Linked DNA regions of Canis lupus familiaris. The protein of the gene in region 2 interacts with the protein of the main gene of each other region in a pairwise test. Links are inferred from orthologs where the notes say so. Each region holds a gene or a part of one and is shown on either strand. Other genes may lie near its edges. The genes, in order: DNM2, HTT, CTNNB1, CRMP1, MTUS1, IFT20 and ZMAT2.

Region 1 (3,500 bases), on a different chromosome or scaffold from region 2:
CCCACAGGAGGCATGTTGAGGACAATGATGGGGGTCGCTATCAGCCCAGGAAAGCTTCCAGGTACTTTCAGATGGCTGTATGCTTCACCCCGGGACTCTGACAGACAGACCCTCTTGCCCTCGTCGGCTGAGGGAAGCCAACTCGACCACCTCTCTTGGGGCCAGGCTCTGAGGGCAGGGCACTTGTGTCACCCACCAGCCTCTATCCTGAGAAATACATACTTGGCAAATCCAATAAAGTCCTCGTGGTTCGTGTTGATGTAGGACTGCTCGATGTCAATCAGAAGAAGAATCTGGAAGAAAACGGTTAACTATGAGTAGGGAGAGAAGCTTGGCAGGGAAGGCTGTGGCCAGAGCACTTCCCATACCTGCCGGCAGGGGGCGATGGCTGGGACTATACTGCTTCCAGCGCAAGAGAAGGGGAACACCCATACCTCACCTCCAACCCCTACCCTGGAAAATGGGGCGTGGGTACTTTGAAACTTCAGGGCCCCATGAGAAAGAAAGACCGGGCCAACAGAGCAGAGTGAGGCAGTCATGTGCTGGTTGCAGGCACGGCCTCTGGGGCTGACTATCTGGGCTGCAGTCTTGTTCGGCCACTGCCTGGTAGTGTGACCCTTGGCCTTGTGTTACCAAACAGTTGAAAGGGACAACAAGAGGCCCCACTGCATGAGGTTAAATAATTCACAGCATGTCAAGTGTTTACGGAGCAGCACCTGGCATGTTGTAAGGGCTGCTTTGTTAAAACAGCAAAGGTGGGGAGCCTGGGTGGCTCAGTGGTTGAGCATCTGCCTTTGGCTCAGGTTGTGATCTCAGGATCCTGGGATCGAGTCCCGAATCAGGCTCCCTGCAGAGTGCCTGGTTCTCCCTCTCCCTTTGCCTATGTCTCTGCCTCTCTGTGCCTCTCATGAATAAATAAATAAAACTTAAAAAAAAAAAAAAAGAAAGAAAAGAAAAACCACAAGCAAACAGCAAAGGTAGTTTGACCAGGTGAGGGCATCAGAATGGCACATGCAAACACAGGCATCAGTTGGGATGTCATCTAAGGTAAAAGACAGGCCTTTACAGCACACCCTACCCCTTCCTGTCATTTCACTGTGCCTCTGGGCACTCAAGCATAAGACATGCCAGCCACTTGGACCTTGTGGGGTTGCTGAAAAATGCTGGGGTGCTCTGTCTGTGGGAGCCACTGTTGTTGGTTTTAACAGGCCCGAGCCCCATCAGCCCGAGCCCTGGGATAGAGCCCAGAAGCACTGGCACTGGGACAACCAGGCGCCATGGGAGTGTGGAAGCGACAGCCATTCTTGACAATAACAATAACAATATGAACTGGCACCTTTCAAGCTTTTGATACAACTTCGAGGTTACAGAAGCCACGGGGAAGGGGTGCAGGTTGACTGGGAGACCCTCTGAATGACAAATGAGCCAGTTTCTTCTCCACTGACATGCAAAACGAGGTGGTATCACAACCAAATACAACACAGAGGCCTGTTTTGGCTCTAGTTTGAACAAACACCTGCCAGGAGACCAAAGCAGACCAACCAGGGGAAAGGGACTCAGACCAGATACAAGTCCTATAGAGATGAAAGGACAGCCATGGGCTCACTCGGCATGACAGGTGAGACCCGTGCCACAGCTCTGCAGGGACCTGTCCCACTCTCTATCCTTGTGTGTGCCTGGACGGTCTTCACAAGGAAAATGTTAAAACATAAAAAGCACCCACACATCTTCTGGTGGGCGAATGGGTAAATAAGCTGTAGTCTGCACCCACCCCTGGACACCACTCAGCAAGCGTTAGCAACAACACCACAAACAACAGGGATGAATCCTGAATGCTCTATGCTGAGCAAAGGAGGTCAGACTCAAGAGGCTACAGACCACAGGAGTCCATTTGAGTGATATTCTGGAGAAGGTAAAACATAGGGATAAGGAGCAGGCCAGTCATTGCCAGGGCCCGGGGGTTGGGAAGGGGCAAAGGACAGGAATTTTGAGAATGGTTTGGTACCTTGACTGAGGTGGGGGTTACCTTGGTTTATGCATGTGCCATTATTCAAGGAAATCTATGCTCAAGATTTAAGCACATTAAAAAAAAAAGATTCATGCACATAAATCATACCTGAAAAACAAAACAAAAGGCCCATACCTGGTCCTTGGTTCTCCCCTCCCGTTCCCGGATGTAGGTAGTGACGATTCGCTCCGTCTCTTCTCGCAAGCGGGGGTAGGAGTTGAGCTGGGGGGCAGGGGGAGAAGTAGAGTGGCGGCATTGGCTGAGTCCTTGTGGCACAGGAAGCAACATGAACCACACAGAGAACATGAGGGGAAGGGGAGTGACAAGGGGTGGGCCTACCGAGTCCCCACCCCACTCCTGTCTCCTGGCTGCTGCAGCTGGGAGACAAGCAGGGGATGGTGGAGGCACGGTGTGCCAGAGAGAGTGACAGGGGTGCCCACGCACGAGCAGAGATGCTGAGAATGGATTCGAAGGTGGAAAGTGGCAAGAGAAAGTTGGGGGTGTGTGTGTCTGCTGCCCAACAGTGATGGCCACCCCCTCCGCCCAGTACTGGGTGAGAGCAAGAACACCTAGTTTAATGAAGGCCACCAGGCCAGTGGGGTGGGAACTCTCGCCCAGCTCGTGAGTGAGTAGCGCCTGTTCTAGGATGTGGGGGCAGCATCTGGGCCATCTACCTCAGAGGGACCCCCTTAGAGAAAACTATTCCCCCATCGTAATGGAGCCGAAGGCACGGAGAAGCCCACCATCCGAGGGTGGGGTGAAGCCCTAGTGTTGGGGACATCTGAGCCGACAGTCAGAATCCCTAGCAGAAACCCTCTGAAATGCCCTGTGACATGAGAACACGCAGGTCTGCATGCTGATAACGGTTCATGCTTGGTGACTGTGAGGAGACCCTCCTTACGGGTTCTGGGCCAGGCAGCGCCGCTCGTCCCCCCACGGCCTGCTTAGTGATCAGACCCTACAACATCCACAGGCCTCCCACCCTCCGCAGCACCCAAACTGGAAACGGGGAGCACCCATGCGCTGCAGCACCCCCACCTCTGCCGCCACGCAAAGTTGCGAGGGCACTGAGTGACCAGTGGCCCCCGGGAGGGGGGTTCCCGCCGAGGCAGAGTGTCCAGATGCACAGGTGGAGACTAACGTGGGGGGTGGGAGGGTGGGGAGGAGATGCGGGACAAATGCGCAGGGGACAACAAAACCTGCGGTTACCTTCTCGGCACACTTTTTAATGACCGTGGCCAGCTCTGAGACCACGAGATCAACACACTTCAAACTTGGCTCTTTGAGTTTTACAATCTGTTTTTTCACTATGGCTTCGAAGGCCATGTCCGGGGTGAAGAGCCCCGTCCTGGGTCACATGCGGAGGGCGGGACGAGGTAGGAAGACACCCGGGGACAGTGCGGGCCACACACGCGGGGCGGGGGACAGGGAAAGAGAAGAAAGGAGAGTCAGCTGGTTAGTGACATGCAAGGAGGAGCCGGTGCCCGCATTT
Region 2 (4,101 bases):
CACAAGGGCAGAGCTTTATCTGTTGATTGCTGCAGCCCTGCAACTATTAGCACAGAGGCATACATTAGATGCTCAGTAAATATTTATCGATGGATGAATAACTAAAGTCAGGTGGAAACCAGGTGGGAATCTGAAGGACAGTAAGAAAAGCACTAAACACAAATGTCAACTATCTCATAATAGAGTTAGGACCGTCCCCACCTCTGGCACTCCCCTGCATGCCAGCCCTGCTGAGATTCTAGCCGGTCCCCTCCCACAACCCCAGCATCCCTGCATCCTACATGCTGAGCAGCAAGCAGGCACTAAAGCCCACGCATGGCTGTGACACTACAGCTCCACACAACAGAAGAGAACCATAAAAATAGAACAGATACTTTCTAAATCATTTTTGGACAATCCTGCTTTGGGGAATGGATTTTTCAGCTGAAGCACCTGAACAGAAATGCCAGGATCCAAACTTGTAAGCAGAGTCTGTTACTCAAAATTCATAAATTTCTACTTTCTCAACAGCAAAGTGCCTACAAATATGATATTTATGTATTTTATTTAAAATAACTACTATTAGGCCCATCAATGTAGTTGATTTCAGAGCATGCTAGGAAGCTTTAAAAGTTACTACTCTGAAATATTTCTATTTTAAATAACTCGAAATCTCTCTTCATGTATCCATGGGTTCTATCTGTAAGGGTACAGAAGGAAGAAGTTTAAGAGAGCTTGCCTCTGGGAACACAGTTAGGTACTCAGGAGAAACAGACGGAAGAGAGACATTTTAATTATTATATTTTTGTAATTCAAGAATTTGCATCATGGGAGTGTACTATTTACATGAAAATAATAAATTACGCTTTTTAAATAAGTCAATCACATATGACCTTAAAATAGGGTAATAAAACAACATCTATCTACTTTTGCAAGGGCAGTTTTAGAAAAAAAAAAAACCTACTTTATACCCATATTTTGAAGATAAACAAATTCAGATTCTGTCAAATCAGTGTAAGAAACAGATGGCACATTTTTAGACTGACCAAGTATTTGAACAAGCCTACAGTGACAGCAGTAAGGTCTCCCTTCCCACCCAAAGCCCTCCCTCCTTAACGCTTCCTGTTATACAAGACCCATGCAATGTGTGAACTTCCATGACATCTACCTCCTAGAGAGAGGCAGTCCAATAAAAGTCTGGGATGAATTATGATGATAAATTACCTGATGTAGAAAGAACTCAAATTATTTTTTAAGTATTTTTTTTCTCGAAGCATCCAAACAGGTTTTTCACCTCTTAGAAGAAAAATTAATTTACTTCTAAAGTCTATCCTAACAGCCAAGTCAACATCACTCCCCAAGTCATTTTCTAATTGAACTCTCAAGACATGGCAAGGACCACGTCAGAAACACAAAGAATAAAAAAACACTACTAAAATTGAACGTGACATTATAAAGGGGCTGCCCCTTGGAAACTGTCCTCATTAAATGCCACCACGCATCCAGATGGCAAACCCAGACGCCGGGGGAGAGAGGCCCGGACCGCCGCCGAGCACTCCCGCACTCCCGAGCTCACGGAGCCCGGGGAAAGTACCTGGGTTCCGCCGGCAGGAGCGGTCTCCAGGCACGAGCAGCAGAGACCCCTAGCTTCCAAACAGTAGCACGCAGGCGTCTCCAGCGAAGGAAACAGGAGCCACCCACAGGGACCGCAGGCAAGCCGAACTCCGAGCTGGTGTAATGCACATCATTCCTCCCCCAGCGCTGAACCTCCCTCTCGGCAACGGGTTGTTTTTATTGCCAAGTGAACACAGGCAATAAACTTCAGGCGACTCTTCCTAATAATGACCTTCTAAGCAGCTCACCACTTCCTTGGGTCTGCAAACCAGCTTGAGCTTAGACACGCGAGCGGATCTCCTCCTGATGCCAGCGGACACGCCTCGGGAGGATGCGGGAAGGCAGCCTCGAGGCGCAGAGAAGAGCCCCGCGGCGCCGGGGCCGCACTCCCGCGCCCTCCCCGCCCCCGCGGCCTGAAGGCATGATGTCACCGCTCTCCCCCCGCCCCACCCCCCGCGCTCGCTCCCAAGCCCGGCTCGCGGCGGGGTGTCCGGCGCCCGCGCTCCTTCCTCTCAGGGACGCCCAGGGGGAAGGGAAGCGGCGGCCTCGGCTATCCAAGTTCTGCCCACAGCACAGCCCGTTTCGTGCAGATACAAAGCAGCAAGTTCCTCCCCTAACTTCGCACGCCGGGAAAGGCGGGGGGCCGAGGCCGTGCCCGCCTCGGTGCCCTCGGGGGCGGCCGGCGAGCCCGAGTCCGCCTGCCGAGGGGCGCAGACACCCCCGGGGCCGGGTCTGGCCGCAGGACGGGCGGCGGTGCGCGCCCGGGGTTCGGGGAGCCGCGGGGCCGGGGTCTGCAGGGGCGCCGCAGCCCCCCGCCGTCGCGGGGCCGGAACTGCCGCGAGGCGGTACTCACGGTCGGTGCAGCGGCTCTTCGGCCACCGCCGGGCCCGGGGGCGGCGGGGGCGGGGGCGGCGGGGGCGGCTGCGGTAGCGGCGGCTGCGCCTGCGGCAGCGGCTGAGGAGGCTGAGGAGGTGGCGGCGGCGGAGGCTGCTGCTGCTGCTGTTGCTGCTGCTGCTGGAAGGACTTGAGGGACTCGAAGGCCTTCATCAGCTTTTCCAGGGTCGCCATGGCGGCCTCCCGTCCCGCGGGGACAGCCCCCCGAGCCCTCGAGCCGACCGGCGGCGGCGCTCAGCAACGCGGCAATGAATGGGGCTCGAGGCCGCGGACATGAGCGGAACCAAGGAGCCCGGCCATCTTGGACCCGTCCCGGCAGCCCCCGCGGCCGTGCGTCTCTCGACGCTGCGCCGGCGGGGCGGGGCCAGGGCGGCGGGATTGACAGCCCGGGGCGGAGACCTCTGCCAATGGCCGGCCTAAGCGCCGGCCTAAGCGCCGCCTGCCCCTCCCGCGCCCGCCCGCTCGGCTCCCAGCACCGCCGCGCGGCTGAGATCACAGCCCCACTTTCCGGTGGGGGCGGGGCGGGGCCCGGCGGGGCGGAGGATGGGGGCGGGGCCGGGGCGGGGCAAAGAGGGCGGACGAGGCAGGGGACGCGGCGGGGAAGCACCTGCGGCGGGAGGGGCGGAGCGGAGGAGGTAGGGCGCAGGGTGGGAGGCGGGGCAAAGCACAGGGTGCAGGGTGGGGGCGGGCAGTGAGGCGGGGCAGAGAGGACGGGGGCGGGCGGGGGGCGGGACAAAGAGGGCGGGCGTGGCAGGGGGCGCGGCGGTGAGGCACCTGGGGCGGGAACGGCTGGGCGCGCCAGGCAGAGGATGGGGGGGGGGCAGGGGGCGGGGCAGAGGTGACAGGGCGGGGGGTGAGGCACGGCGAGGCGGGGAGGGGAGGGGAGGGCCTAGGACAGGCACCCGGTAGAAACCTGCCGGGTCAGTGCCTGCAGCCCGCAGAGTCTGTGGCTGGTGCCACGAGCAGCCACTTAGACCCCAGAGGCGCCACGCATAGCAATGATGGCCCAACCCTAACGGGTTCGCTTGGAGGAGAAGACCCTTGCTCCACAGAGGTCTGCAGGGCACCTCCTGCTTAGGGTGGGTAGGCTCTGAGAAGGGTCCTGGGCTCCAGAGCCCCACTCCTTGGAGGCGAGGAAGTGAGCCAGCAGAGGACCACAGAGGGCGGTGGCGCATCAGGGGGCACCCTGCCTGGCAGGGAGTGGGTTGGCCCCAGAGAGAGTTGCCTGGGGAGGGGAGAAGGGACGGGGGTTGATGCATGCACTATGAACCCTCCCGATCCCACTCTGCCCACAGGCCACAACTCCACCTTCTCTCACCGCCAGTCAGTTGTCCCAAGTGGTCAGATAAAGGGAAGCCCAGCGGCACCACAGAAGCATTGCCCCTGAGGGGAGAACGACAGGACCCCCCCCCCTTCAGGGAAAGGACATCAGAGAATGTGCCCCCAGCCTGGAGGGCCTAGTTCCCTGAAGTTAATAATGAGGTGTGTACCAGGTCTCAGGCATGGCAGGCCACAGCGGCCAGGCTCCAAGTGTCGGGTGCTGTGGTCTGCAGACATTAAGACAGCCAGGTGACCCCTTCCTGATATTCATGATATCCATGCCTTCGTATGATC
Region 3 (4,258 bases), on a different chromosome or scaffold from region 2:
CCCTGAACCCCATTACCCCAGATTCCCATACTGGGACCACGTTTAGCCCCTCTTACACCATTCCACTCAAATTCAGGCATCCCAGTACTCCCAAGAATATCTCAACTTTTCCCCAATATTCTTCCTCTCACACTGATCAGAACAAAAGAAACAGAAACCATGTTGGTATGCAACAGTACTGTCCATATATCAATGGTATATCAAAGCAGATTTCTTGAAAATTTGAGCCAGAACAGGTGCTTAGAACTCCTAATGATTTGGCTCTTGGCTTTTCCTAATCATTATTCACCTACTTAAAATGAAGTATCATAAAATAATTACTCATTCTTGCCCTTTACTTTCCTGCAGACCCCTACTTCCAAACTATCCTGATTTTCTAAAAACAAATCTCCTCACTTCATGCCTCTGCTGATACTGAACTGCTTTCCATTACTTTTTAAAAACATATTCTACAAGGCCCTGAAGGACCTTCCCTGCTAATCTCAATACTCTCATCTCAAACCTTTCCTCTTCTTTACTCTGTAAATTCATCCCTCTCCTCTCTCAGTAGGACTTTCAAAGGTGTCAATTCCTCTCTCTCACCTTCACCTAGTCAGTCTTTCCTCATCCTTGTGAACTGAACTCCACTATCACTTCCTTCCACTGGTCTCTCTAAACCTTCCAAGCAGGGTGTGGTTCACGTATATGCTATCACAGCCCCTCTACTTCTTCCAGATACATGAATTAAATAGTAATTAGGTTATTATCTCTAATTAGTGCCTATCTTCCACCTAAGTATGAAAGCTCTAAGTATGCCCACTATATCCTTATCACCTAGCCTTATATAAACAAATATTTAAAGAAAAAGAGATGTCCAGCTTTTTTTCTAGGATACACACAAAGGGTGAGGCATACAAAGAATGTGCAAGAGTCCACAGAAGGACATGACACTGGATTCCCCAATGCTCCATGAGCCATACTCAGAAAAATTCTTTTACCTTGCTTTCTTGATTCCCGTAAGCTAAAATCTGAAGGCAGTCTGTTGTAATAGCCAAGAATTTAACATTTGTTTTGTTGAGCAAGGCAACCATTTTCTGCAGTCCACCAGCTAAACGCACTGCCATTTTAGCTCCTTCTTGATGTAATAAAAGGTTGTGGAGAGTTGTAATGGCATAAAATAATACAGAATCCACTGGTGAACTGGGAAGAAAAAAAAAGCCTCATCAGAAAGGCTGTGATGGCACCCTTCTCCTCCTTAGCTTCAAGCATCCTAACCATGTTTTCTTACCCAAGCATCTTCACCAGGGCAGGAATGCCCCCAGACTTAAAGATGGCCAGCAAGCCCTCACGATGATGAGAAAGATTGTGCAAGGTCCCAGCAGTACAGCGAGCTGTTTCCACATCATTTGTATTCTGCATGGTGCGTACAATAGCAGACACCATCTGAGGAGAACGCATGATGGCGTGTCTGGAAGCTTCCTTTTTAGAAAGCTGATGGACCATAACTGCAGCCTTATTAACCACCACCTATAATGTATAGGAATTAAGAGACAGAATTATGATTTTCAAATACTGATACCGGATAAACATTCTGAGGCTCCTTGAGAGTTTCCTTTAAAGCAGATTAAAAGCTAGCCATGTCCTTACTTACCTGGTCCTCATCATTTAGCAGTTTTGTCAGTTCAGGGATTGCACGTGTGGCAAGTTCTGCATCATCTTGATAGTTAATCAAATTTACAACTGCATGTTTCAGCATCTGTGATGGTTCAGCCAAACGCTGGACATTAGTAGGATGAGCAGCATCGAACTGTGTAGATGGGATCTGCATGCCTTCATCTAATGTCTCAGGGAACATAGCAGCCCGCACCCTCTGAGCTCGAGTCATTGCATACTGACCATCAATATCTGGAAAAAATAAATTCAACACTCACTGTCCATAATTCAGCATTCACCTGAATTTGTGCTACCCTAAGTGGTAAAGGTAACATTACAATCACTCCATGTTTTCTTTACCACACCATTTTATTTAAGCTATTACATACTAACTTTTTAAAGAATCATTCTTAAAATTGCCTTCTAACTTTTATTAAGGCAATAAAATACTTACCAGCTACTTGTTCTTGAGTGAAGGATTGAGAAAAGCCCTGTTCCCACTCATACAGGACTTGGGTGGTATCCACATCTTCTTCCTCGGGATTGCCTTTACCACTGAGAGAAGGAGCTGTGGTAGTGGCACCAGAATGGATTCCAGAATCCAGGTAAGACTGTTGCTGCCAGTGACTAACAGCTGCTTTTCTGTCTGGCTCCATGGCCATGTCCAGCTCCATCAAATCAGCTATAAAAATCAAACAATATTAGCATTACCACCATGGAGATGTTATATTCATTAAAATATCTGTGATGACCCATTGAAATATTGTTAGAAATAGTCAAATCTGAAAGTCAGCCAAGAATAAACAACGATAGCCAGGATTAGCTCAGTGATGAAATATCTATACTCTTAAGGGACCACCTAACAGTTACTCACTGAATTAGTGGAAGAATGGTACTGCATCCAGGCTCCAGAAGCAGTCATCCAGACTAGATTCCTGCTGGTGGCTTGTTTGCTATTTCACCAAGCCATTAGGAGGAGTGAGCAGAAAATGGAGCAAAAGGTAGCCTGACAAGTAAGCAGGGAGAGAGTAAAGCAGGGGGATCTGAGCCAGACTGGGTTAATGGCAATGAAGCAGAGCCCCGATTCAGTAACTAAAGACTTTTGATACAAACCTTGGGTAGCCATTCCCCACACAGGATTTTCAAAACCGTTGTATGGTGTGCTTCAGGTACCCTAAAAGAGTTAATCAAGTCATTAGGATTTAAAATTAGTTTTTAGTACTTTTAAGTCACTAGGATGACCTGCTAAACATCATGGATTATATCCACAAAAAGCCCCCAAATCCCCCTTTACCATGTGAGAGTGAAAGCCAGACTCCATGGTCTCCTTAATACACTCCCCACAGCTCCACCACTGCTGAACCTCTTTTAGTAAACACCTCTTTTTAGGTAGAAATACAAATTACAGTTATTCAGGATGTCAGAAAGCTTAATTATTGTTGAGGAGGAAGAAAATTTATAGTGAAAGCCAAGGTAGGAAATAACTCCTCGAATTCCCAAAATACCTCTCCCCTCTCTTTTTAACTTCTTTCACTGAAAAATTCAGAGATCTTTCTGGTGAGACTGGACATGGACTTTAAAAAAAAACTAGATTTTCACTAATGGTTTTTCTTTCCTGATAGAATACAAAGACATCTAAAATACAAAGTAGGTTTTGCTGACTGGATCAGAACACTGGGTTTGAGATCTGTTACTAACTAAAATTACTTTTCAAATGTAAATCTGCAACACAATAATCACCCTTTTAGTAAAATCTGTCTAGTTCAAATTTATAGTATGGATGTATTATAAATACAACTATTACCGACCAGAATGCTGTTTTGATCATTACAAAAAATATATATATATTACAAAAGTACTATATATATAAATACATAATTTATATATATGTAAATCCTAGCATCTATGTTTACATTTTGGCCTCACTGTGTAATAGGAAAACACTGAATCACATGGGAAACTACTTGCAAATTAGAACTGTGGGTCTTGTAAAGGCTCACAACCACCAGATATTCCTAATAATAACATTTCCTTTATCACAAAGTATTCCCGTAAACAAGTTCATCTTACACTACAACTTAACATATTGGTTTACCAATATGTAAAGATATGGACTAAAATATTTAAGCATGAAGTGAGTACTCTATCCATGTAAAAAGGAGTTTAAATGTTTAAAGAAGTTGGAAACTACACTCTGAAGTCCTATGTGCTCTATGTAAAGGAAGCATGTGTTAATTATTCCTAAAATTGCTCTTGCAGTACTAGATTTTTATAGCCACAAAGGTCACTTGATATGTAAAGATAACAAGAGTTATGGATACAATTGTTTAGTGTCCACAGTAGAAACACAACTGATGATCTTTTTTTACATGACAAAATGAAGGTCAGAAAATAATAAAGGTGATTCCTGTCAATAAGAATCTTTTAAGATACCAAGTGGGATTACGTGTTTAACGTTTTGATTCAACAGGACTAGAGTGGGGCATAGAAACCTAAATTTTTAATGAAGATTTCTACAGACCACACTTTAAGAAATACCCATGTTCTCTACTCACTGAAGCTGCATTTTAGCTTTTATTTTTCCACCTCTCTGGAAACTGAGAGCTCCACTCCAGCTCCCAGGTAT
Region 4 (3,500 bases), about 9.8 Mb from region 2:
CTGTTATGGTCTTCACCTTATCAGGGTCCCAGATGACTACATCAGCATCTGAGCCCACTGCAATCCGCCCTTTCCTGGGGTACAGGTTAAAGATCTTGGCTGCGTTGGTGCTGGTGATAGCAACAAACTGGTTCTCGTCCATTTTGCCAGTAGCCTAAAGGCAAGATCCACAGATGAGGAGAATGTCCCATAACAGGGCTGGGGGAAGAGCAGACAGGCACAAATCCAGACCTGCCGACAGGAGTCCTTGAGAGAAGTCTGGATTTTTCTCCTCCCCCGCTGCAAATAGGCCATCATGAAAGGGCACAAAGGCCTGGCCCCATCAGAACGGAAGTGCAATTGACCGCTCAGAGGTATACTGACATCTGCTCAATAACCACTGTGCCATCTTGTCAGTCCCACTGGGTCCAAGTTTAATAGAAAATAAAAATCTTAGGTTCAAGTCAGGGACCAGAGTGTGACCTGGGGCTTCCTACTGTGACGCGACAAGCACCCTCTGTATTCAACCCCAAACACACACGCGGTTTACAAAGTCATCTTTACAGGAACTGAGATGTGGTCAAAACAAAGCTAAAGAAAATATTTTGCATCCTTAAAGAATAAAGGGGAGCTGTCATGTCTGTGCTGCTTTGTTAAGAGACACGTTTCCTCGCATGCCCTCCTGATGTGTTCTGCACCTGCATCAAAGCAAGGAAGGGAGGAGCTTTAAGAATCAGCTGTGCAGAGGCACCTGGGTGGCTCAGTTGGTTGAGCGTCTGATTCTTGGTTTCAGCTCAGGTCATGATCTCACGGGTGGTGGGACTGGGCCCCACACTGGGCTCCATGCTCAGAGGGAAGTCTGCTTCAAGATTCTCTCCCTCTGCCCCTCCCTCTACTCACTCTTCTCACTCTCTCTCTCTCTCAAATAGATAAATCTTAAAATAAAAGACAACCAGCAATGCGCAAAGTGCTAGCTTTTGAGGGGCCAGGCAGGGAGCTTCTAGAATGTTCCTGGGGATAGAAAAACAAGGAACACCTTACCACTGCTTTGTCCCAGACAACAGTCATCCGCTCTTCTATCCCATTGACCCCCTCTGGGATCAGAGTGAAGTTATCCTTGCCCACTGCTTTCTGGGCAGTGCTGTAGGGACAGTGGCCACTACCTGTGACCTGCAGGTCTCCACTGTAAGGATGAAAACAAGGTGGGGATCAGACTTGAGTTTCAGGTTGAATTTCAGGCACCCAATGTACGCTGTGAAATGAAAACCCCAAGAGATTCTGGGGAAGGGATTTGGGGCACTTCATGGGTATCAGTGAGTGACACTGGAAGGCCCTTTGGGGGCCTGTGTCTTATTGGGAAAAGGCTCAGTCAGTGTGGGCTCTGGGCTCTCTGAATAAGACTCCCCAGGTGGGCCTCCTCTTCCTCACCTGGAAGAGTGGGCATCCACCCAAACAAGGTGCCAAGTGAGGTTCAATGAGGGGTGAGGCCATATCAGGCTTGGCCTTGGAGACTTGTGGAGACTTGTGTTCAATGCTAAGAGAAGAGGATCCTGGAAATCTCCAGGCAGAGGAGTGGCTTGGTCTGATTTGGGTTTTAAAATCTGGGTGTTTGTTGGGTATAGACTGTATCATGTTAGGGGCATGGAAGGAAGAGCACAGAAACAGGCCTATTGGAGATGAGCCATGACGGTCATCGCCAAGGGGGCAAAATGTGGTCAGATCCTGGGACCTTTGGCCTGTTTCCTGCCATCTTCAGATATGGGCAAGACTGTGGGAGCAGCAGCTTTGTGGAGGAGATGGGGAGTCTGTCTGGACTTGGATCTGCCCACCAGACATCAGTTTGCAGACGATGAGTAAGCCTGTGGATAGTCAAGTCAAGTGTTTCTGCATCATTTGGGAGAAAGAAATCTCCATGGTAGGTTCACATCCTCACCCCCATGGGGCTCCTCCAAGGCTAAGACCAGAAGCCTGGACTTATCCCCAATCCAGCGAATTCCTACTAATCCTCTAGCTTCTGGCCTGATGTTGCCTCCCCCATGAAGCCTTCTACAAGTTTCCTGGTTCTGAGCATGTACCTCTGCTTCCAGAGCAGCCTGCACACCTCACCACTTAGCCTTCTCTTGCGGCTTAAGTGTTCTTCCCTCATGGTGGCCAATAGAAGGGAAGGGACCAAGGTGGCTGTGCTCCTACTGTGTGCAGGTACCCAAGAGGTGCTTTGCAAGTAACAGTAGCCACTTGCTGAACCCTAGATTCTAGGCCATTTTCTTACACTGTCACACATAATCAGCTCCACAGTAGGTACTATGTTCTCCTCCATTTTGCCAATGAGTAAACCAAAGCAAAAAGCCATTCTGGGTTATGTGACAAATACAGGGTGAATCTGGATTCTCGTTTCTAATCCTGGGTGCTTCCCAATATCCCACACTATACCCAGTATCGCCCAGCCACCCCCTCGGCTCTCACCAGGCCAACAGGGAGGTCAAGTAGTCAGGTGTGGTAGGGTCTGGGCTCAGGGGAGGGGAGGTCACGAAGGCCGCTGCCTTGGCCCAGTTCTTGCTCCAGTAGTGGGTGCCATCAGTTCCCAGGCTGGCAGCGATGGGCTCGCCGAACACGAGGGGGCCTGTAGGGGCAAACACACAAAGGTGATGGTCTTTTGAGGAGGGTCTGGGGGCACGAAAGTCAGAGGGTCAGAGACAGGAGAACGATGCTCTGAGGGGCAATAGGTTGTCTGCCCTTCTTCCCTGCATCACCACACAGCCCAGTGACCCCCCGCTGCCAGGCGCTGGGCACCGGCTGACCCCAGCAACCTCCCGGACTGGTAATACTTTTCGGATTTGAAAAGGACCATTATGCCCTTTGGCAGATCTGTCAGTCCAGGCACAGGGATGGATTGTGCTGTCTCAGTGTGGAGTCTACCAGAAGCAGATCTTCAAGTTCAGGAGTCAAGTTCAAGTGTCTTACTTGGGAGGTGATTCCAGGCGGCACTGGTGGGGGATTGAGGAGGTGACAGAGAAAGACGTCAAGAACAGGTGAGTTATGACCAAGTCACGGCCATGGGCACCTGCAGCTTGGGGCCACTGGGGCCTTGGGGAGACTACTGACCGCACCTCGGGACCGTGCCACCCCCAGGGAAGGGAGCCGGGCGGTGCATCCACCAACCCACCGCGGGAGGGCTGCTGCCAGAGCATTCACTCTCGGAATCCCAGGCTGCCTTCCGAGGAGCAGGCCAGAGCAAAGCCCACAGGCAGAGCCTCAGATCCGCCCGCGGACAGATGCTGCCGGACACCGGCCAGCAGCACTGCCACAGCTGTGCAAGGCCACCCGGCTGCGGCAGCTTTGAGCTCCGGCGATCTGGCTGTCCGGGAGCACGTCCTGCAGTGATGGGCATGTTCTGTACCCGTGCTGCCCAGGACGGCGGCCACTAGCCTTCTGTGCCTCTCGAGATGTGCAATGTGGCTAGCACAACCAAGGAAGGCGTTTAAAATTGTATTTAATTTTACTTAATTCAAATTGAAACAGGG
Region 5 (3,500 bases), on a different chromosome or scaffold from region 2:
TGTAGTTTTCCCATGATACCCTAACTCTCATTGTCAGTTTTCTTGTTTTCCTGTGGCTATCAGCTTAGGCCACTTGCAATGTACTGAGCTTCATCTGTATGTCAGTTCTGAGGCTTTCTAAAAAGACACCAGTAAACAAAGAAGCCAGTTTAAAAAAGTCATTCTGCAAAATATGAAAAGGACCCCAAACCCATATCATTTCTCTAGCTACTGAACACTTAATTGACCCTCCAAGGCAGCTGAACAGAAGAAAACTCAGTAGTGATGGAGAAGCACACACAACTTACTAAATTTGCTTTCTCTCTTGATAGTCTTTTTTGTTCTTCTGATTTCAACTTTTCATTTAAAGCATCATTTTCACTCTTCAGATCATTGATTTGTTTCTAAAACAAACAATGAAATGTGGAGCACAAGTTAACAGGCAGAGACCAGAAACATAGCAAATGTACACAGAAACACTGCCCAAACCACACAAACCTCAGGAATGAGGGTATTTTGGGGAAGCAGGTGTAAATAAGATTTACCTACCTCCAGCGATTCCTGCTTTTCGTGAAGCATATCCTCAAGTGATTTCTTTTCCATTTCATGGCTTTTCTTGATTTCTGGAAAGAAGGGATTTTTTTGGAGGCAATGACATCCTATGAGATCATTGTATTCAATAGTTGTTAAAGCACGTAGATCTAAGAGTTGATTATGAGGCCGTATGACTATGTTACTTTATATTTGTAAGATGCTTTTAAATGAATTAAGCTAGCTATTCTCCAATTAGGCCTATGATGGGAGGAACACAGATACTTCCATTTTATGATGGAGAGCACAGAGGCCCAGAGGCCACAGGATACAGCATGTCCATCTCAGGTGTGTGGGCCTCAAACACTGGCCTTCACACTCCTGCACTCGAGTTCCTGTGCACTTTTCCATTTGCTCTTCATGAATCAAACACAAGTCTAAAGTTGAACCCAATTCTAGCAGGAAGGAAGAATGACAATGTTTACTAAATATCTACCCTGGGCCAGTCACTTTTACATATTATCATCTCTGACTTCATGTGACAACTCTATTTTTCTGATGAGAAAAGCCTTTGCCAAAGGCAGGCCAGCCAGTTCTTACCCCATGTCTACAGGCTTCTTCTATGGGACAAGCAGAGCTAAGTGTAATAACTTCCACTACCCTCTGTGTTCTTAAAGAAGTGGCTCCTTCTATTCCTTCTACTTCAATCTTTCTAATTATGATAAAATAATTTTTTAAAAAATTATTTCTTAACTCAGCAAGTGCCATGTTCTTTTCACAGCATTGTCTGTTGTGCAAGACTACTGGCAAGCAAGTGTTGCTTAGCATGGGTCCTTTACCATGTCCAGGATATAAACTAACACTTTCAACTTCCCGCAACTTCAGGTGGTAAAGAACAACCACTGCCAAAAAGACCTTTATGTTCTATAAAAGTTAGTCTCACATCTTAAAAGGCATTTGTGACAAACTATTATTTGCATCCGAAGGGGGAAAGGGCATCTGCTTACAATGAACAGTGCAAAAAGAAAGCAAAAACATTCCCAACTGAATACCACAGGGTATTCTCTGGAAGGGAAAGTTATGAATCATTTCCATTTTAAAACATATCATGCTGTTCCATTAGATCTGATTCTATTAAAAAAAAAAAAAGAATTCTTGCCTGAAAGGGAGGTTTCATAGGCCTTCTTTAGTAATTCAATCTTCTCTGAGTGGCTAGCTTCAATCTCCAACTTAGAAGTTTCATGGGCAGCATTTAAGTTGTCGAACTAGAAGCAAAAAAAAAAAATAGTTTACCAGTAAAATTAAAAGTCTTAAGTTGAATAATAAGCAGCAGTATTAGGACACTTGACACATAAACTTGCGTTCAAGTTAAAAGGCTGCCTGACAATATGGATAGAACAACCCAAGCTGGATCTGTCACTCCCAATTCTCCACTCTCTCCTCGCTCAGGAACACAAACACACAGGTTCTCCAGGGTTCACTGATGCAAAAGGCCAAGTTCATCATAATTAATGATATGTTTCACGGTGATAGGACCACAGAAGATCCATGCCTGTCATACTGGTCTTCATATCTGCAGTCCCTGGCACGTGCCCAGCATATAGTATGCACTCAGTAAATACTTACTAAATGGAGAATTGATTTTAAAAGGAAGTGAGAAAATTAAAGAGAAGCTTATGATATACTATTAAATGAAAAATGTGGGTTATTAAGTGTCAGTTTAAAAAAGAAGAAATGCAAACCAATCATGTAGCAGTATAACATCAAAAGGGATTACTTCCAGGTAGTAAGGAAGGTTTTTTTTTTTTTAACTTTTCTTTTTTTCTTTCCTTCTTTCACTCAACATTGCTTTGATCCTAAGAAAAAATCGAAAAACCTCTTTTCACTTATTTAAATAAAAAGAAGTTCAAAGGAAGTTCTTCATCAAACAATTAGAATTCAAATAGTCATGACCAAGGACATGATCAGACTCCAAAGGCACAGACCTGCTCTTGCAATTGAGTTTTATACTTCTCTGCTTCTTCAATATAAATATTCTGGAACTTTTCACATTCCCCGGTGTAAAATTCTTTAAGCCGATTCTCTAGCTCTGATAGATCGGTCTGGTGCTGCTGGTTCAGCTTCTGGACAAATCCTTCATAAGCTATTTGCAACTCATTCTTGGCTTTTTCTAATTTCTCACAGGTAGATGAAGCAGTGACTAAAAGAGGGGAAAAAGGCAAAAAAAAAAAAATTCATCTGCTGAATATCCTAAATTCACCACATTCTCACATAGTTGTGAGGACTCTGGAAACATTAGCACAGTACTCTGAGTACTTTGTTGTCTCTTGACCAGATTTTCAAATATAATGGTATAAAAGTGAACGATAAATAGGAACAAGAAGAAATGGTCACTGGCAGCAAAATAAAAGCCCCATAACCACAAAATAAAAACCAAAACCAATACCCCTTTTCGACCCCCTCACCCCGCCTAACACACAACCATCTAGCAAGTAGTAACGTTAGTACTTGAAAAGAACCAGGTTTCCAAGGGAGAAGCACCCTTTGTGTGTTGACCGATCAGTGCAGGGGCCATAAGGAGGGGAGGCTCTGACTGGCTGAGGCGTCTCTAAGGCTGAAGAGCCTGTAGGGAGAAGCTAAGACACAAGGGGCAAGGAAGATCGGAGATAAGAAATAAATGGATTTTAAGCTTCTACTTAATTTAAGCTGATTTCAAAAATACAGTAATAAAAACAAAGTATTAGAGTATGTTGAACACAAATCACCAGAGCATACCAACTTTAGAAAGAACACATTTTAAAAGCTACAACATAGGGGTGCCTGGGTGACTCAGTCCCATAAATGTCTGCCTTGGGCTCAGGTCATGATCTCAGGGTCCTGGGATGGGACACCGCATCCGGCTCCCAGCTCAGAGGAGCGCCTACTTCTCCCGCTCCCACTGCCTGTATTGTCTCTGTGTGTCAAATAAAATCTTTATTAAGCTGAGTGGG
Region 6 (4,079 bases), on a different chromosome or scaffold from region 2:
CTGGTCCAAAAGATGCCTCCATTCTGGGAAGAAAACACTGAAAACTCACATTCATCCTGGCAAACACACACACACACACACACACACACTATATATATATATATATATTTAGGTTTTATTTATTCACAAGAGACACAGAGAGACAGAGACACAGGCAGAGGGAGAAGCAGGCTTCCTGAGGGGAACCTGATGCGGGACTCGATCCCAGGACCCTGGGATCACCACCCAAGCCAACGGCAGATGCCCAACCACTGAGTCACCCAGGCGTCCCCAATGCACACAAATTAAAAAGCACACTCCCTGTCCAAAAAGGGAGGCAATTCCCAAACGCCAGGTGTTCCAAGGGCTACCACCAGCTGGCCCTGCGCCAGCACTTTCCTCTGCTCTCACCTTCCCTAGTTATTTTCCTTCCAGCTTCCTGAGAGAAGTTCTGTTCCACATGGGGTTGTTATGGGAGTAACTTCCCAGAGCAAGTAGACCATAGGAGGAGCAGTGGTTAAAAAAGAATTGTGTCCCGTGGCTGCCAGAACTGATTTTCAAGACAGCCAAAAATCCAGATTTATATATGAAATCTGATATTTATTTATTTATTTATTTATTTATTTATTTATTTATTTTTGAAATCTGATTTTTAAAGGTAAATACTGAATTCAAAACTTTAAAGGAAAAACCACATCCAACACTGTGGGCCAACTAATGCATGTCTATAGATTGTGTATGACTGGGACACAGAGTCTCTGGCCTACTGGAATCCACTGAAGGAAATAGGCTAGCATCTGAAACATTTTAATCATCTCAAGCTTCCTTTTAATTGGGCTTTTTTTTAAATATAACACACAGTAATATATTAATTTCAGGTGTACAATATAAAGATTCAACAATTCTATATTCTCAGTGTGCATCAGGATAAGTGTATTCTTTTTTAATAAATTTATTTTTTTATTGGTGTTCAATTAATTGGGCTTTTTAAAAAAAGATCTGCCTTCCTGGGACCTGCCTGAGTGGCTCAGTGGTTGAGCGTCTGCCTTCAGCTCAGCTCGTGATCCCAGGCTCTCGGGATCGAGTCCCACATCGGGCTCCCCTGCAGGGAGCCTGCTTCTCCCTCTGCCTATATCTCTGCCTCTCTCTGTCTCTCATGAATAAATAAATTAAATCTTTTATTAAAAATCTGCCTTCCTGTTGTTCTATTACATTTACACACAGAGTTTGAGCATTTAACACCTACCAGGTGATTAATCAGACCAACTGCTCTAGAAAGCTTCCAGTAATCTTAGGTAGCAAATATCTACCTCCACTTCCACTCCCTGCCCTGAGAGGATGCATTTATTCAGAAACACCTACTGAGTCCCTGCTCTGCAGACAGAGTGGTGAAGAAAATGCTTTAGTTTCTGATCTCTGGACAGACAGTAAACAACCACAAACTGTGAGGACAGTATGAGGAAAAGCACACGGTGCCATATGAAGCTGCAGCAAGAGGACAGAATTCATATGGGGCAGGGAATGTCTCAACAAAAGCTTCTGAAAACATGACACTTAAGCTGAGACCTAAAGAATGTCCAAAAGTTTGCCAAGTGAAGCAGGGAGGAGGCATTCCAGGCAGAAGGAAAAGCATGTGTCAAAATCTTGAGGCTAAAAGAAATGTAATGCATTCCAGGAACCATAAGGCTAAAACCCAGTGAACAAGGGGGCATGTGGAAGAGGTAACTCTAGATGAGGAGGCCTGAGCGTTCATGGAGAGCTCTGAAAGCCACAGTTATGAACGTGGGTTTTATCATAAGGGTAGTGGGCAGCCAGCAAATTCTCAGCAGGAAAGGCAGACATATGTGTCTTTTACAACCATCACTCTGACCCAGGGTGGAGGAGGGAACAAGAGAGTGGGGCTACACATACCTTGTTCATCGCTGTAACCCTAGCATCTAGCAGGGTGCCTGCACTCAGTAAATGTCTGTGGAATGAATGACTGGAAACAGAAAAGGCTATTACAGTACCCAAGGCTTGGAAGAAAAGCGTCCCCATTTGCGATGTTACATAAGCTGATGTAATTAGTAAAGCCCCGACTGAATGTAGGAGTCTGGGATGAGGGAAGGAAAGAGGCAGGCAAGATTCCCCTGTATCTGGCTCGAGCGCCAACTTTTAAGTTCGGTGGGCAGAGCTGAATGAGACGGATAAGACCGGATAAGGAGGGCAGGGAGAGGGTTCACAGCCGACTATCAGATTCCCTCCCAACTCCCACCACACGTGCGTGTCTGAGCATCTGAGGAACACCGGGCACCAGAGCCGCGCGGGGCTCCCCGAAGACGGCGGCGGCGGCGACACTCTCCGCCTCCCTGGCTCTCCCAGACCCATTCCCGGCCCCGCCGGCAGGCGCCATTCGCGGGATAGTCGGCAAGGGGCGCCGGGCACACAGGTAGGAAGACCTGGGTGATGGAGCTGGCTGTCCACACTACGGAAACGCCTCGAACTTCTGGGCCGCGGTTTCGTCACAGGGCCGCTGCGAGCATCCACGCAAAGCTCCAGGCCCCAGCTGGAGTCTCACCGCTCGCAAAGACGCGCGCGGAATCCCCACGTTTCTTTCGGCCTGTCAGGTTCAGTCGCCCCGGGTCCGCCCGCGTCCCCCGGCCCGGAGTCGCTGCCTACCTGGCAACCCCGTAGCGGCGGCGCGCTACCGCCCGAGCTGTTTCCTGCAGGCAGCCTCTCTCCCCGGGCAGCAGCAGCCGGTGCCTCGCCCGCCGGCCTCAGCCGCTGCCACGGCTACTGTTTACCCGTAACGTCATTACCTGACTGCGGAAGTACTTACCCCGCCCAACCCGCAGAGCCTGCTGGGAAAAGGGCCTGTGGGGAGGGACGGCTGCCTACAAGATCCAGAGGCCTTTGCGGCGGAAAGGCTGCCGGAAGTAGCCGAACGCCAACAGCGGAATTCTCCCAGGGGCCCCTCCCTCTCCCGTGATTGGGTGCTGGGCATGGCGGCGGGGCGGGCGGGGCTGGGCCGCGGCTCAGGGCGGAGTCCGCGGGCGGAGGATGTGAGCTCACGGCCCGGGATTGCTGGCGGGCAGGCGGCCACAGCCCCGGGCGGCACGGGGTCGGCTTGCAACCCAGCTGAGAGGAGACGTGCCCCCCGGGAACGGTGAGAGGCGGGGTGCGGATGCCCTGGGGGACAGGATGGACGGGCCGCGGGCTGGAGCAGGAGCAGGGGCAGGAGCCCCACCCGGGGCTGGGGAGAAGGCGTGGGACGGCGGAGGGGAGATGGAGAGCGCAAGTCCTCCACTGGGGTGCGTGTCAGAATCGGTCGGCTTCTCGGTGTGAGGAGGGGTGCGGCCCGGGGAAGACTCCACCGACCACGGAGAGGTTGGGTCTCGCTAATCTTTCCAGACCTTTGGGACGAAACCTAAGATTTACACCTCGGATTTCTGCTGGATCCGCCTCCTCTACCCAAGATTGGCCACCCGCCCCCCACCCACCCCACCGAGTGTCATGGACCCATGGGTCCGTCTTCTAGGACCCCGCCTTCTTCCACGGCCGTGGTTGTGGTCCTGCCCTTCATTCTGCTTAGGTTCCCATTAGCCTCACTGAGGGAGACTCGGATACGCCCTCAGCCCCAGGCATCCCCAAATACCCACACACAAAGTCCGGAAGGAACTGCAGTGAGGCTATCAGTGGAAACTTCATTCTCTCTGGAATTACTTTCTGGGGCGTCACCTGCCAAAGATTCCTGGAGCCCATTGGCCCGGGAGGAATCTGAGCGGTCGGCATCTGAGCTGACGTCATCCAGGGGCTCAAAGCAATTGCTTTGTAGGCTCTGTTGGCCACCCCCTAGCCTTTGAGTTCCTTTACTTTGGCGGAACATATGTTTGCTTTCTTTGATCCTGGGGAAATCGGGGCTAGACTCAAAATGCATAGGGGACTTGCTAAAACCTGTTAAGGAGTGGATTTACTCCATTGGGGTGGGTGGGGGAAGGTGAGGTGATTTCATACTATCACGTGTTACTTAGGGATTGGACAATCTGCTGGTGAGGTTCATCTCCTCCGTACTCCATCCTTGAGGCAAGTGAGTCTCCAGGACAAGCCACCAAAGAAATTTG
Region 7 (4,253 bases), on a different chromosome or scaffold from region 2:
ATTAAAATTAAAATAAATAAATAAATAGCCTGTCCATGTCTTACTCTTGGGAAGCCACTTGCTTTATTGTCAACAGCACTAGAGGCCCATGGGGCAAAGAAGTGAGGCCTCCAAAGCACTACATGAAAGAGCTTTCAATCAAATCATTCAGCCCCACTTAAGCCTCATATGAATGCAGACCCAGCAGACACCTTCATTGCAGCTTTGTGAAACCCTAAGCCTTTCCAGATTACTTACCCAAATTGTTAGCTATCTGTTTTATGCTGCTAAATTTTGGTGAGTTAGTTAATTTACACAGGAATAGGTAACTAATACAGAAAAGAATGATGTGAGGTGTTTTTTTTTTTTAAGATTTTATTTATTTATTTATGAGAAACAGGGAGGGGGGGAGAGAGGGGCAGACACAGGCAGAGGGAGAAGGAGGCTCCATGCAGGGAACCCGACATGGGACCTGATCCTAGGACCCCAAGATCATGCCCTGGGCCAAAGGCAGGCGCCAAACCACTGAGCCACCCAGGGATCCCTGATGTAAGTTTTCTAAGCAATTCAGACATGTCACTCATTGCTATCTGTTTTGCTCTCCTGCTAGAAAACGTAAATGAATACTGTAGTAGTGGTGGGCAAAAACAAAAGTCCTTACAGGACACCTCTTCTCATGGGTCATAGTCTTGGTCTAGGAGGAAAGTGTACAACCAAGCAATCCGTAACAACTACAACCTTTGCAGCCAGTCTGGAACCTCAACTCCCTTTATTCACCATCAACAGCTTCTAGGCTCCATTCTAGCTCGAGAAATCTCTCCCCTAGAAATGTTTTCAGGAGTCCTTTCCTTCATTTCTTCCTCTTCAGATATTAAGAAAGAGTTACAGTGCCAATATGAAGAGGTCTACAGAGTAACTCCTCCTAGAGACACTACCATGTTTAGTTGAGGCCTGGAACAGGAGTGACACAAAGAAATATCTAAAGGTAGGACTATTAAAAAAATAAATAAAAATAAAGATAGAATTATAAGTAACATGATTGCTATCCTGGAGCCAGAGAACCTCTCCTCGACACTTGCTAAAATCAACACAGTTTATTAGACCTAGTCTTGGCTCCTGAAAAAGATGAAAAGTCACTCACCCTCCCATCTCAGATTGTGGCGTGGTCTTGGTAATGACAATTGTCTTCCCAAGCTTGGATTCCAGGTCCACTTTATAGTCCCTATGCCGGAGAAGCTCCCGTTTGACTGGCTGTACTGGTTTTCCTAAAATATAAGACAGAAGAAAGTCCTTTTATTATTAGAGTTCCTTAAGCAGAAACGAAAAGAAATGCATGAAACCCAATACACAGATGTCTACTCTTCATTTCTTTCTTAAGCCTGAAGCAGGGGGCACAAAAAGCACTTGTAGCAGCAACTAGGGAGAATCTCAACACAGGAAAAAATGATATGCAATCCCTAAACTCTACATAGCTTTTTTCCACTTCAAAGCCAATAAGTCTAAAAACAAAGTTTTTTATTGTTAACTGAATTGAAGAAAGGAATTAATTTTCACAAAGAGTAAACTTTTAAAAGAAAAGCAAGGACACTCAGTAATACTTTCAGACAGATACCCCAAGTGTAACACACAAAAAAGAATCTCTAGAAGGCTGGGGAAGATTTTCTAAATGGGACCAACATTCAGGCAATATCTGTTACTTGCTACTGTACAAATTAGATCAAAACTAAAAAGATCAGTTTGTGCAAGGTGGTGTGAAAGTAAAGTGAAAGCATAAGAAAAAATAAGGATTCTTTTTGTATAATGGATTCTCTAACTAGGAGAGGAGAATCAACTCCGTAACATTGTACAAAGCAGAGAAACAGTACTACTAACCACCAGCTGAAACAATCACACATTCCTCCCAGTACCCTCACTCTTCTCAGACCACAGGGGAAGGACTTGATTGGACCAGTTATATTCTTCCCCTTAAGTGACTTCAACGGAAAGAGTTTCCTCAATAGGAGTAGTGCATAGCAGCAAAATACTCCACATCTCTGTCACTACTAAGGCTTCTCCTCTCTTCTCTGCACTTGAAGAAAGTACAAAACGAGCTAAGCAAAAAGAAGGCAAGAAAGCACAGGAAACAGAGCTGGGAAATACCTCTGAGTATATTCAGTCCATCTCTTTCCTCCCATTTTATACAGTAAGAAATGGAGAACCAGGGAGGCAACATTCAGCCAGAGGTTACACAAGGTACCAACCAGGACATCGCATTTCAACTCCCCACCCGCTCTCCAGCTATGGCTTCACCTCTACGATACCTCTGCCCTTTAGGGAGTAGGCACCCACCATCCTTCTTTTCTCTCTCTTCCGTGAGCCTCTTCTCGGCGAGCTTCTCATATTCATCTTTGTCCCACTTTCGGCGAAAGTCCAAGTTTTTTGTCTGTAGGGAAAAAAGCGCTCAAGATTCGTCGCTAATCATATCGGAACCCTAGAGAAACGGAGGGAACCGCGTCCACGCCGGCAAGGCGACCCCCCGGACCTGTCGAGAGCGAAGACTCTCCACACCGCACCAGAAGGCTGAGGTGGCCTCAGGACCCCAACCCAAGAGTTCTCCGCGATTCCACAGACCCTGTGCCAGGACCCTACGAGGAGGCTCTTGAACTCGGACCATTGGGCCGCAAGGAGGTGTCGAGAAGCCAGTTGGGTGCAGGATATTCCGCGCTACGAAGGCACCCTCTGCCCCCCGACCAAAGCCTCCTCACACACAACACCTACCCCGCTGCCCGACGCCATCTTCACTGCGAAGTGAATGGGAAGCCGGAAAATGACGTAAAAAGCGGCCCTGAGCCGTAAAGCAAGCTTGCCCTCCAATAAGCTTAGAGTTTCGCGTTCTAAACGAGCTAAGGACTTCTAAAACAGGGTCGTCGGCCCCTCCTCTGACCCACGGAAATGGTGCATGCGCATGGAGAGCATGAAGCAATACGGAAGTAAGGGCGCGTACTAATGTCTTTTGCCTTGGTTTTCTAAACAATCATCTGATTTAATTCAACTGGTCTATTTTATAAACAAGGAAGCAATTTGGATCAGGGCCCTTTGATCTAGTCTTAAGCAACTGTGCATCCGTTTGCCAAGTTTCTAATTTTTAAGGCTGAAGGAATTATTAGGAGCCTCTAGCTGCCCTATTTACCTGTATGCACTAAAGATATGGCCCGCGACACCCAGTGTCTCTAAGTTGCAGCCTTTCCAGCGCATATATAGAAAGCAATTTTTGCACACTCTTTATTTTGAAGCAATGCTATCATCATTCGGTTAAATCATTTTTCTTTCAACTGAGGAACTTTATAATCATTCAATCAATAGGGCACAATTTAATCAACATGATGGGACTTGGAAAGGCCAGTCATCAGCAACGCTGTAGGGTGAACTCTGGCATGCATCTCACTATGTTCATTTAGACGTGACTGTATTTCCAAGTTGATGGGGGGTGGAGTGGGGGCACTGGAAAACTGACTGTTTCCTTCACTGAATCCAGAAGCATCACCCCAGGGAGGTTGCTCCTAGTTCTCAGAATTGTGCAGTGTACACTTGAGGGTTTTCTATGGCCTATGCAAACCAATCTCTTGATAACAAATCACTCAAACTACTACATTTAGTATTTTATTTATTATCCAATCATTTCTAGAACAGCCACCTCCATAGGACAACATGGAACATAGTCGAGCAGTAATTCTGGCACAGGAAATGGTCTCCAAAATCTCAAAAGATTAGACCATCTTGTCAAGTCACCTATTAAATTCAACATTCAAAATTACTAAACAGACAGCCTCACTCTACTAACAGCAGTTGAGCTAGAGATGCCACAACCATGAGCACTCCTATGCCCTTAGGATAGCATCTCTGTCCTCAAAAGGAGAAGGCAGCCATTTGCCCCTTCCTTGCTATCTCCCAATACTCCCTGGACAAGCCAAGGGCAGGTTGTGGACAAATTTCCCAGAATCTGGTTCAGAAGCCACAATGGAAGGCCACGTATCTGACTTCTTATCTCAATGGTCCCAGCCTGGGGCAACCTTCCTAGAGCCTTGCTCAAAGCAACCATCTCAGCACCTGTTGGCAGCATTCCATGGCACTTCAAATCTGCCATCTGTCTCTGCAGTTAGAGCATGTCTCTTTCACATACCAGCCATCTGCACCCATGCAGAATAGCTGCTCACACTAGCCCAGGAGTCCTCAGGACCTCCTACAGCTTTGTACCCAGAAAGGATGGAGGAGGCAGAGGAACTTGTCACCCATCC

What was found.
Region 1: the proteins of HTT (region 2) and DNM2 interact in binary tests that used the Homo sapiens proteins (3 or more experiments, as listed by UniProt). The link is inferred for Canis lupus familiaris from reciprocal best matches to the Homo sapiens genes HTT and DNM2.
Region 3: the proteins of HTT (region 2) and CTNNB1 interact in binary tests that used the Homo sapiens proteins (3 or more experiments, as listed by UniProt). The link is inferred for Canis lupus familiaris from reciprocal best matches to the Homo sapiens genes HTT and CTNNB1.
Region 4: the proteins of HTT (region 2) and CRMP1 interact in binary tests that used the Homo sapiens proteins (3 or more experiments, as listed by UniProt). The link is inferred for Canis lupus familiaris from reciprocal best matches to the Homo sapiens genes HTT and CRMP1.
Region 5: the proteins of HTT (region 2) and MTUS1 interact in binary tests that used the Homo sapiens proteins (3 or more experiments, as listed by UniProt). The link is inferred for Canis lupus familiaris from reciprocal best matches to the Homo sapiens genes HTT and MTUS1.
Region 6: the proteins of HTT (region 2) and IFT20 interact in binary tests that used the Homo sapiens proteins (3 or more experiments, as listed by UniProt). The link is inferred for Canis lupus familiaris from reciprocal best matches to the Homo sapiens genes HTT and IFT20.
Region 7: the proteins of HTT (region 2) and ZMAT2 interact in binary tests that used the Homo sapiens proteins (3 or more experiments, as listed by UniProt). The link is inferred for Canis lupus familiaris from reciprocal best matches to the Homo sapiens genes HTT and ZMAT2.

Annotation. Positions count from the first base shown.
Region 1 is NC_049241.1:50,820,771-50,824,270, forward strand, and holds part of DNM2 (dynamin-2), read right to left. Parts: intron 3,357-3,500; coding exon of another isoform or gene 3,218-3,356; intron 2,231-3,217; coding exon 2,144-2,230; intron 294-2,143; coding exon 223-293; intron 1-222. UniProt on the Homo sapiens protein: Catalyzes the hydrolysis of GTP and utilizes this energy to mediate vesicle scission at plasma membrane during endocytosis and filament remodeling at many actin structures during organization of the actin cytoskeleton.
Region 2 is NC_049224.1:61,750,089-61,754,189, forward strand, and holds the start of HTT (huntingtin), read right to left. Parts: upstream 2,801-4,101; 5' UTR 2,662-2,800; coding exon 2,447-2,661; intron 1-2,446.
Region 3 is NC_049244.1:10,788,915-10,793,172, reverse strand, and holds the start of CTNNB1 (catenin beta-1), read right to left. Parts: upstream 2,801-4,258; 5' UTR 2,759-2,800; coding exon 2,746-2,758; intron 2,315-2,745; coding exon 2,087-2,314; intron 1,885-2,086; coding exon 1,631-1,884; intron 1,507-1,630; coding exon 1,268-1,506; intron 1,180-1,267; coding exon 978-1,179; intron 1-977. UniProt on the Homo sapiens protein: Key downstream component of the canonical Wnt signaling pathway.
Region 4 is NC_049224.1:71,589,735-71,593,234, forward strand, and holds part of CRMP1 (dihydropyrimidinase-related protein 1), read right to left. Parts: intron 2,600-3,500; coding exon 2,443-2,599; intron 1,163-2,442; coding exon 1,021-1,162; intron 155-1,020; coding exon 1-154.
Region 5 is NC_049237.1:41,851,329-41,854,828, forward strand, and holds part of MTUS1 (microtubule-associated tumor suppressor 1), read right to left. Parts: intron 2,711-3,500; coding exon 2,496-2,710; intron 1,776-2,495; coding exon 1,670-1,775; intron 603-1,669; coding exon 529-602; intron 384-528; coding exon 288-383; intron 1-287. UniProt on the Homo sapiens protein: Cooperates with AGTR2 to inhibit ERK2 activation and cell proliferation. May be required for AGTR2 cell surface expression. Together with PTPN6, induces UBE2V2 expression upon angiotensin-II stimulation.
Region 6 is NC_049230.1:42,556,709-42,560,787, forward strand, and holds the start of IFT20 (intraflagellar transport protein 20 homolog), read right to left. Parts: upstream 2,801-4,079; 5' UTR 2,638-2,800; intron 1-2,637. UniProt on the Homo sapiens protein: Part of intraflagellar transport (IFT) particles involved in ciliary process assembly. May play a role in the trafficking of ciliary membrane proteins from the Golgi complex to the cilium.
Region 7 is NC_049223.1:34,979,058-34,983,310, reverse strand, and holds the start of ZMAT2 (zinc finger matrin-type protein 2), read right to left. Parts: upstream 2,801-4,253; 5' UTR 2,755-2,800; coding exon 2,737-2,754; intron 2,402-2,736; coding exon 2,308-2,401; intron 1,245-2,307; coding exon 1,121-1,244; intron 1-1,120. UniProt on the Homo sapiens protein: Involved in pre-mRNA splicing as a component of the spliceosome.